2 linked regions of the Coturnix japonica genome follow. The protein of the gene in region 1 interacts with the protein of each later gene in a biochemical or structural test. Links are inferred from orthologs where the notes say so. Each region holds a gene or a part of one and is shown in the gene's direction. Other genes may lie near its edges.

Region 1 (4,087 bases):
TAGATTTTTGCAACTGTGAGTGATGCTTCTTATGCCCAGAAAAGGTTGCCACCATTTGCTTAATTTTCTTTGTATGTAGGTCTGTCATGCCAATCCATCAGAGAGAGCTCGCTTTATTCGCTGCATCTACAACCTGCTACAGTCATCGAGTCCTGCAGTGAAATATGAAGCAGCAGGAACACTAGTTACGCTCTCCAGTGCACCGACTGCAATCAAGGTATAGAAGTGCTGTTTCCAGACATCCCACTACCTGCTGGTGCACTGTAGTGCTGTGTATTATACCTTGTACTTTTGAAGTATGAAGGCTTCAGGAAAATGTCAGTTTTGACAGTTCGTGTGTAAAACTGTCTTAAAACGTCTCTTAAAATTGCTCAGAAGAGACTAGGACTGTATGTTGCAGATTTGTGGCTGGTGGACCTCATGCCACTTGCTGATGGACAGGCTTGTGCATCTGTGCAATTTATCACAGTAGTTGGTATCAACCTGCTGTTTTCTTGACCTTCTTGTTAAAGATGACCAGTATTGAAGATTTCCAGAGATTGAATTACTTTCATTACTCTGAAATGTGATTCTTTTTCAAAGTGGTAACGCACGGCTTTGAAGATCTGTGTTGATTCCTGCTTGACCTCACATTCCTATTTATCTTTGTGGTGTTGATTACTTGAGATCATAAGGGAATTCTAAATTCTAATGAAAAATAGAATATACCAGTCTAGAATAAGAGTAAAAATATTGTAAATAGTAGCTTCAAAAGAAGTGTATTAATTCAGGTGTATTAATTCTTACATTCTTGCTTTAGTGCAGTCATTTTCCTTGAGTATGTGTATCATACGGAGAAGCTGTCATTAAAACCATATCTAGATATGCTAACACTGTCAACTATTTTAAATTCATTTTTATGTCCTGTCCTATACCTAAGATTTGACTCAAAGCATGCAAGGAAATTTATGGTTTTGTTTGAATTTGAAATCAAGGCTGTGAATTGTAAGCTGTGCATCTTCCTGTGGTGTTACTATAACAAACTGATGGAACCATCTTTGTGGTTTATCAGAAAGTTTAAACACTTCTCAGGTTAATTTCGGTGCCAACTCATTGCATTGTTGCTCTAGTAGATAAGTAAAAGCTGTCTTTTCCTGAATTTGTCTTCAAGATTTGCCCAGTTTCCTACTTTGTTACTTACATAAATATTTTTGTTCCTTTTTAACGTAGGCAGCTGCCCAATGCTACATAGATTTGATTATTAAAGAAAGTGATAATAATGTGAAATTGATTGTTTTGGATCGGTTGGTTGAGTTAAAGGAGCATCCCTCCCATGAGCGAGTGTTACAGGTATGTGAGCTCTTTTCTTGCCAGCCATCTGAGTGTTTTTCCTTCCCTATAAATTTTCAGGTGTCATGGTACAAAATGCCCTTCTGAAATTTAAACCTCTTGTTCATACGTCTGTTGAAAACAGCTGAATGGTCTTTTACGTTTAGGCTTGCTGTATCTATTGCCTGCAGTAACTACGGTAAATGTTGACGTGATTGTAAGGCTTAGTAGCTTGCCTGAGAAGAGTAAGAATGGATGAAATGAGGACTGAACTTCATAACCTCTAGGATATGTTGTATGTTTGTCACTATGTTATATATTCTGCGTCCACAACATCTTGGGAAATTACTGGGCACTGAAAAGTAGAACTGAGGATGGAGTAATTTGAAGCAACAAAGCAGTTATGTATTTATTTTTTAACTGTTTCAGGATCTGGTTATGGACATCCTCAGAGTTCTGAGTACCCCAGATCTGGAAGTGCGCAAAAAAACCCTTCAGCTGGCTCTGGATCTGGTTTCTTCAAGAAATGTGGAGGAGGTAAAAGATATATTACACATGTCTCATAACATGTTTTTATTCACCAGAAAAATACGTGACTTTCCTCAATTTTTTGATCTTTTCTGCAGCTTGTGATTGTTCTGAAGAAAGAAGTGATTAAGACTAATAATGTGACAGAGCATGAAGATACTGACAAATACAGGCAGCTGCTTGTTCGTACATTGCATTCCTGCAGTGTTCGGTTTCCAGATATGGCTGCGAATGTTATTCCAGTGGTATGGAAATCTTTAATTATCTTGTCATTCAGTTATGTCCTGCTGTACCAAAATCCTTACTACCCATCTGCGTAAAAAAAATAAGCGAAGCTAAGGTTTTTTCTAAAAGTGGGTTTACAGTCAGTCAGACTAATTCTCATGGCTAAAGAAATATCTGCATCTGAACGTAGTACAGTGATAGAAATGTAACTTTTTTGTTCTTTGTGTTAATGCTCCCCACGCTGTGGTAGCTGATGGAGTTCCTCAGTGATAATAATGAAGCTGCTGCTGCTGACGTACTGGAATTTGTTCGGGAAGCAATCCAGCGATTTGATAACCTCAGACCTCTTATTGTTGAGAAGATGCTTGAAGTCTTTCATGCAATTAAATCTGTCAAGTGAGTCTCAGATACAATGTTAAACCAGAACTGGAGCAGTGTGTGGCTCATTTACATTGAATGTATGTTGTCATTAAGTATGTACCAAAAGCCTTGCAGTCCACACACACAGAAGGTACAGGAGGTAGATGATCACAGGGAGATGGTTTCCATCTCTCCTCTTTTTATATGATAGAGTGGGTGCTGTTTACATGAACACAGATGAGTTCAAATTGTTTTCTTGATGCTATTGTTAATTGTGCTTCTGTTTGTTAGAGGATGACGTTCTTGAAGGCCAACACCAAAGCGATACATTTGTTAAAACAGAATTACTAAGGGAATATTGCAGTGGGAATTTGCAGTTGTAGGGAACTGGAAAAAGTTGGACATTTGTCAGAAAAAGAAAGCCCTAAAATAAGAATCTGGAGAGCATTTTAGTACTTGCAAAGTGCTCAAAGCTTGGTATTCTGATGGATCAGTCATATGAGGGGAACTTCTCTGCTTGAAGATGCCTCTTTCTGAGTATCCCAAGTTTTTGGCTCTGTCAGTATGTCATTAAGTGATAAATAAGCCCAACCCTGAAAAGCACTGCTATTCTTTTTCCTCTAATCTTCATTCAGCCTTCTGTTTTCTCCTTCATATAGGAGAAATGAGAAGTTAGTTTGTCTCAGGGAGCTGTGGAAATTACAGCTGTCTTTGTTAACATGCAGAGCTGGTTGTGATGGTAATGAAATGTAATTTTATAAATACCAAGCTTAGCACAGGTGGAATGAAACAGTAGCAGAGAAGAATTCTTATTTTATATACTTGTTCATTAGTTTATTGAGGCTGAAAGGACAAATGTTGTAGATCAAACCTACTTCCTGCCCATCACATCCCTTTGAATTTGTCCATGAATAGCTACCCTTAATGCTAGTTTATCATTAAAACATGGTTAAATTCCTCTTCTTATTTTAGGATTTATCGAGGAGCTTTATGGATCCTTGGAGAGTACTGCAGCACAAAGGAGGATATACAAAGTGTAATGACAGAAGTTCGCAGATCACTTGGAGAGGTGTGTTTATTTTGTTATTCTAACTTTTTGTGGTTTATCTCACTACATACATTGTACTAAAGAAAGGATTTAAAACAATTAAAATGCAATACAGAGTTTTGAACGGTTGTAATGTTGTGTGTGCAAGAAGCCAAAAGCAAAAAGTAGATTTTGCATTCAGTATTGAATTATTTTTAAGTAGAAACTGGCATGTATTGAGAATAAATATTAGAATGCTTCAGATTTAGGAGAGTGGGTGAAAAATTGCTTGTTTCAGAACACTGTGTCAACTTGAACATATGAGTACCATAGCTATATGCACTAAAAATGAAGAGTGCTTTAAGTCTTGGGAGCTCTGCAAGCACTGTATGCAGTGTCATGAGCTTTATGCACAGCTGTAGGAGGTTTCTCTATGTACCTGAACATCTATGTGTTTGTGTTTAGATCCCAATTGTAGAATCTGAAATCAAGAAGGAAGCTGGTGAGCTAAAACCTGAAGAAGAGGTGACCGTGGGCCCAGTCCAGAAACTGGTGACAGAGATGGGTACTTATGCAACCCAGAGTGCTCTGAGTAGTTCCCGGCCCACCAAAAAGGAGGAGGACAGGTATTTAAGATTT
Region 2 (4,557 bases), on another chromosome or scaffold:
GTCAGTGTGGCTGCAGTCTGCCAGGCTCATATCTAAACCACCTTCTGTTTCACCCTGTGTGTCAGCAGGTATGGGGATATCTGAAAACACTGTACCTTTAGGAAGGCATCAATGTCTCCAACAGCAGGAATGAAGTCTGGAATAAAAGGCTGCAGTTTGTGCTCAATCTGTATTGTTTTCGGAGTGTATCTTGAGAGAGAAAAACAACAGGATTGCATAGTGGGCAATTGACATTTCCTGCCAGAGACAAAGACCTTGAGACAAAGGAGAACCCAGGGCAGGCGAAAGCTCCTTCAACTCACCTCCTTATGTATTCAAAGAGTTCTTTAATTTCAGGAGATACCGGCAGGTAGTCATAGTTTGCGAGGTTGTAGTCACTGAAGAGAGGAAAAGCAATTCTTGCAGACATTACTTCCTATCAGTTTTTGTACAAGAACAAAGGCACGAACATGGATCCAGCTGTGCCCCAAAGCAGAAGCAGGACACTCTCACTGTAAGAGGCTTCCTGTCCGTGCACAACTCTGTTCAACCCTTTTAAGCCACGGGTTCCCGGCTCCCTCCGCTGCTCACCCCTCCAGTGAAGCCCCGCGCTCCTCCGAGTCCTCAGAGTCGCTCTCGGAGGAATCCTCATCATCGTCATCATCATCATCATCATCGTCATCATCGTCGTCCTCGCTGGCGGTGGAGGGTCCCAGCCTGGCCACTGTTTCCTTCAGGGCAGGAGGGACGCGGCCTTACTTACTGTACCGTACCGTGCCGTGCCGTACCGTACTGTACTGTATCGTACCGTATCATACCATACCGTGCTGTACCGTACCGTGCCATACTGTACCGTACCGTACCGTATCGTACCGTACTGTACCGAGCCATACCGTACCGTACCGTGCAGTACCGTTCCGTATCATACCGTATTGTACCATACCATGCCATACCGTACCATACCGTACCATACCGCACCATACCGTACCATACCGTACCATACCGTACCATACCGCACCATACCGTACCATACCGTACCATACCGTACCGTACCGTACCATACCGTGCCATACCGTACCGTACCGTACCATACCGTACCATACCATGCCGTACCGTCCCGTGCCGTACCGCCCCTCTCCCCCCGTACCTTGCTGCTGCTGCTGCCTCCTCCTCCCTCCCGGTCGTTGCCGCGCTCTCCCGCCCCGCTGGGCCGCGCTCCCGTGCCGCCTCCTCCCGACCAGATCGGCCCCGGCCGGCGGGATCCCTGCGGCCGGTTCTCGCTCCCCGCCGCCTCCTCGGTGTCCGGCAGCTCCAGGCTCTCGTCGTACGGCTGGTTCTCCACGGGCCGAGGCTGTGCGGAGGGTCGCGGGGAGGCGATGGCGCGGCCCGGCCCGTCCCCGCTCCCCTCGGCCGGCCGCCGCTCCGCCATGACGCCGCCTTCCGTCGCCATGGCGACCCCGTCTCGCTCTCCCTCTCCCGGCTAGAGCGGCGCCCGCGGCCCGGCCCCGCAGCCGCGTGTGGGTGTCGCCCCCTGCCGGCCGGGGCCGGTACTGACGCGGGCCGCCCCCAGGGCCGCGCTCCGGGTCCTCCCGCCCCGCCCCGCCCCTCGCGTCGTGCGCGGCGCCGCTTCCGGCTGGGGACGTGGCTCGGCGCCGCCATCTTGTGGGGCTGCCCGAGGGGACGCGGAGCCGCGAGGGAGCGAGCGCCGAGCCGAGCGCCGCCGCCATGGTAAGGGTGTGCCCGGCCATGAGCCGCCGCCATGGTAAGGCTGTGCCCAGAGCTCAGCCGCCGCTCGTGGGGCCGCTGCCGGCCGGACCGGGGTCGGAGAGCTCGCGGGGCCTGGCCAGGCCGCTCATCGCTCGGCGGCTCCGCTGCCGTTCTCTGGCCTCGTCCCCGAGCACTGTCGGATCGCTCCGCAGCTCCGCGATGGACCCGGGCCGCTCCAGGCCGTGCTGCCCCGCCGGGTGACGCTGCGCTCCGGGCCCGGACGTGGCGCGGCCTGTGGGAGCCTCCAGCTCCGCTTACCGGGCGCTGCCGCAGGGCGGTTGGGGGGCACTGCCCGCTGTGCGCTGCGTGATGTGTAACGTGGAGGCTGCTTGCAGCGTTAAGGCTGACATCTGTAACCAGGCCTCGTCTCTTGCTGCCTCAGCTGCCAGCTCGGGTGGAGGTCACTTGTGTCCCGTTGGCTGTGGGTGACGTGGAGCTGTGAGCTTTCCGTCCCCGAACGGGACCTGCTGCTTGGTGACAGAGGCCGAGGTGCTGCTGAGATCAGCTGTGCCATTCGGTGCTGTGCTGTGCTGTGCTGCACTCACAGCCCTTTCAAAGAGCAGTTGGGAAATGGAGGCTTATGCCTGTTGCTTTCTTCAAGATATCCCTGACTACAGGGTTCCTATGGCCACTCAATGTACAGCAGTTGCTGGCTGCTCACCTGGCCGTGCTGGGGTTCATGCTTGAAATGTACAGACACTGAAGAACTTCTGGTGCTTCTCATTGTTAGGATACTGTGATTAAAACTGGCTGGGGAGTGAAAGGATCTTACCTTTAGAAACTGCTTTATCTTCACTATGTTAATTAAGAAACTAATCTGTGAGAGAAGTATTTCAGGACGAAGTCGAGGCGGAGAGAATGAGAAAGGGTGAATTGGCAGTTACCTTAATGCCTTTCTATTGTTGGTGTGATAACATCAGTGAAATGCCCAGGAGAACCATCCACGTGCTGTAATTAATATAATGGTCAATATTTTATTAACCCGGCTTAGTTTAAGTGTGGCACTGGGAAGAGATGTCACATTTCAAAGTGTTCTGGTCTTTATTGTGACTTTTCTGCTGGGGCTGAACTAACAGATAAGTCAGTTTTTGCCTAAAGCATTGCTGGGGTTTTGTCATAGCCCTATAGGAAAAGGTGTTGCATTAGCCTGAATGGAGGACTGAGAGCTTTCAATGCTGTGTCTGTGTCCCTATAGGTGCTGTTGGCGGCAGCTGTCTGCACCAAGGCAGGGAAGGCCATCGTCTCCCGGCAGTTTGTGGAGATGACCCGAACCCGCATCGAGGGGCTGCTGGCAGCTTTCCCCAAACTGATGAACACTGGGAAGCAACACACCTTTGTGGAAACAGAGAGCGTGAGGTACGTGTATCAGCCGATGGAGAAGCTCTACATGGTGCTGATCACCACGAAAAACAGCAACATCCTGGAAGACCTGGAAACACTCCGACTCTTCTCTAGAGTGGTAAGGATCTACACGTCGGGTCCTGTGTTCACACCTGTAGCCCCAAACAGTGGCAAGCTGGTGCTGAAGCACTCTGCCTCCACCTCATAACTTGGTTATCTATGGCTTGTTCCTGACCTGGAAGTAACCTTTGCTGCTCCTGTGGTAATTTTGAACTACATGTGAGAAATCCATGCTTGCCATTTAACTGGTGAGGCCAAAGAGATGCTGCGAATGTAGTGTCAGATATTTCTATGTTCTTTAGGTAGCAACTGCATTCCTTCAGTCCTGGCTTCACATTGTGATTGAGAAGCATAGCAGTGCTCTAAATGGATTTCTAAGTCATGGGTTTTTGCAGTTGTTTTTTTAATTAACTTCATAATCTATATCTGTGCAGCTGAAGGATCTTCAAGAAACTGAGCAGCATCACAGGGTGTGTTTTGTAGTGAATTACAAAGTTAAAACTGTGCTGAAAGACTCCATAAGTGTTTTAGTTGAAGGAAAAAAATAGTCACAAAACTTCATCTTAAACAGCAGCTCAGTGGGTGCTGATTGTCACATCTACATCTGTTTGCAATGCTTTTCCCTACCTAGATCCCTGAATATTGCCGAGCTCTAGAGGAGAATGAGATCTCTGAGCACTGCTTTGACCTGATTTTTGCCTTTGATGAAATTGTTGCCCTGGGCTACCGTGAGAATGTAAACTTGGCACAAATTCGGACCTTCACAGAGATGGAGTCGCATGAAGAAAAGGTGTTCCGAGCTGTCCGAGAGGTGAGTGGAACTAATTGTGGTGCAAGGTGCTTTGGGAGCACTGCTTCTTTATGCAAAGGTGTTACTCCACTTTGGCAAGGCTTTTAAAGATACTTAGCTTTCCTGTACACTGAATACCCATTCTTTGGCATTTTGTGTTTGTAAGAAGACACCGTGAGCAGCTGTACAGAATAAAACTGAGATTGCAAAGCTTTAGCAGCTTTCATCTTTTATTTCAGACTCAGGAACGTGAAGCAAAAGCTGAGATGCGTCGTAAAGCGAAGGAGTTGCAGCAGGCCAGGAGGGATGCAGAGAGGCTGGGCAAGAAGGCGCCTGGCTTCGGTGGCTTTGGCAGCTCAGCTGTGTCTGGGGGCACAACAGCAGCAATGATCACAGAGACCATCATTGAAACAGAGAAGCCCAAAGTGGCACCAGCACCGTCCAGGTAGGTGTGTGCAGTTGGCAGCAGTTAGTGCTGTCTGAAGGGTTTTGTTTGGCTTCCTCCTGAGTCTTCATGGATAAACAGGTGCTGAAGTACCTGGTGTGTGTGTGTGGGTACATAAGGGAGTGGTCAGGTATGGCTGGCACTGGTGTGGTCTGTTGGTGTTTGTCAGGCTGGT

Evidence for each region. The genes of interacting proteins can lie anywhere in the genome.
Region 2: the proteins of COPB1 (region 1) and ARCN1 form a complex in vitro, tested with the Homo sapiens proteins (2 studies listed by BioGRID). The link is inferred for Coturnix japonica from reciprocal best matches to the Homo sapiens genes COPB1 and ARCN1.

Annotation. Positions count from the first base shown.
Region 1 is NC_029520.1:14,570,482-14,574,568, reverse strand, and holds part of COPB1 (coatomer subunit beta), read left to right. Parts: intron 1-79; coding exon 80-217; intron 218-1,209; coding exon 1,210-1,329; intron 1,330-1,737; coding exon 1,738-1,845; intron 1,846-1,934; coding exon 1,935-2,081; intron 2,082-2,311; coding exon 2,312-2,457; intron 2,458-3,393; coding exon 3,394-3,490; intron 3,491-3,913; coding exon 3,914-4,074; intron 4,075-4,087. UniProt on the Homo sapiens protein: The coatomer is a cytosolic protein complex that binds to dilysine motifs and reversibly associates with Golgi non-clathrin-coated vesicles, which further mediate biosynthetic protein transport from the ER, via the Golgi up to the trans Golgi network.
Region 2 is NC_029539.1:4,767,627-4,772,183, reverse strand, and holds the start of ARCN1 (coatomer subunit delta), read left to right. Parts: upstream 1-1,536; 5' UTR 1,537-1,704; coding exon 1,705-1,707; intron 1,708-1,723; exon of another isoform or gene 1,724-1,738; coding exon of another isoform or gene 1,739-1,741; intron 1,742-2,941; coding exon 2,942-3,205; intron 3,206-3,778; coding exon 3,779-3,958; intron 3,959-4,176; coding exon 4,177-4,382; intron 4,383-4,557. Other genes in the region: IFT46 (intraflagellar transport protein 46 homolog), read right to left, coding at 96-189, 303-377, 571-710, 1,127-1,429. UniProt on the Homo sapiens protein: Component of the coatomer, a cytosolic protein complex that binds to dilysine motifs and reversibly associates with Golgi non-clathrin-coated vesicles, which further mediate biosynthetic protein transport from the ER, via the Golgi up to the trans Golgi network.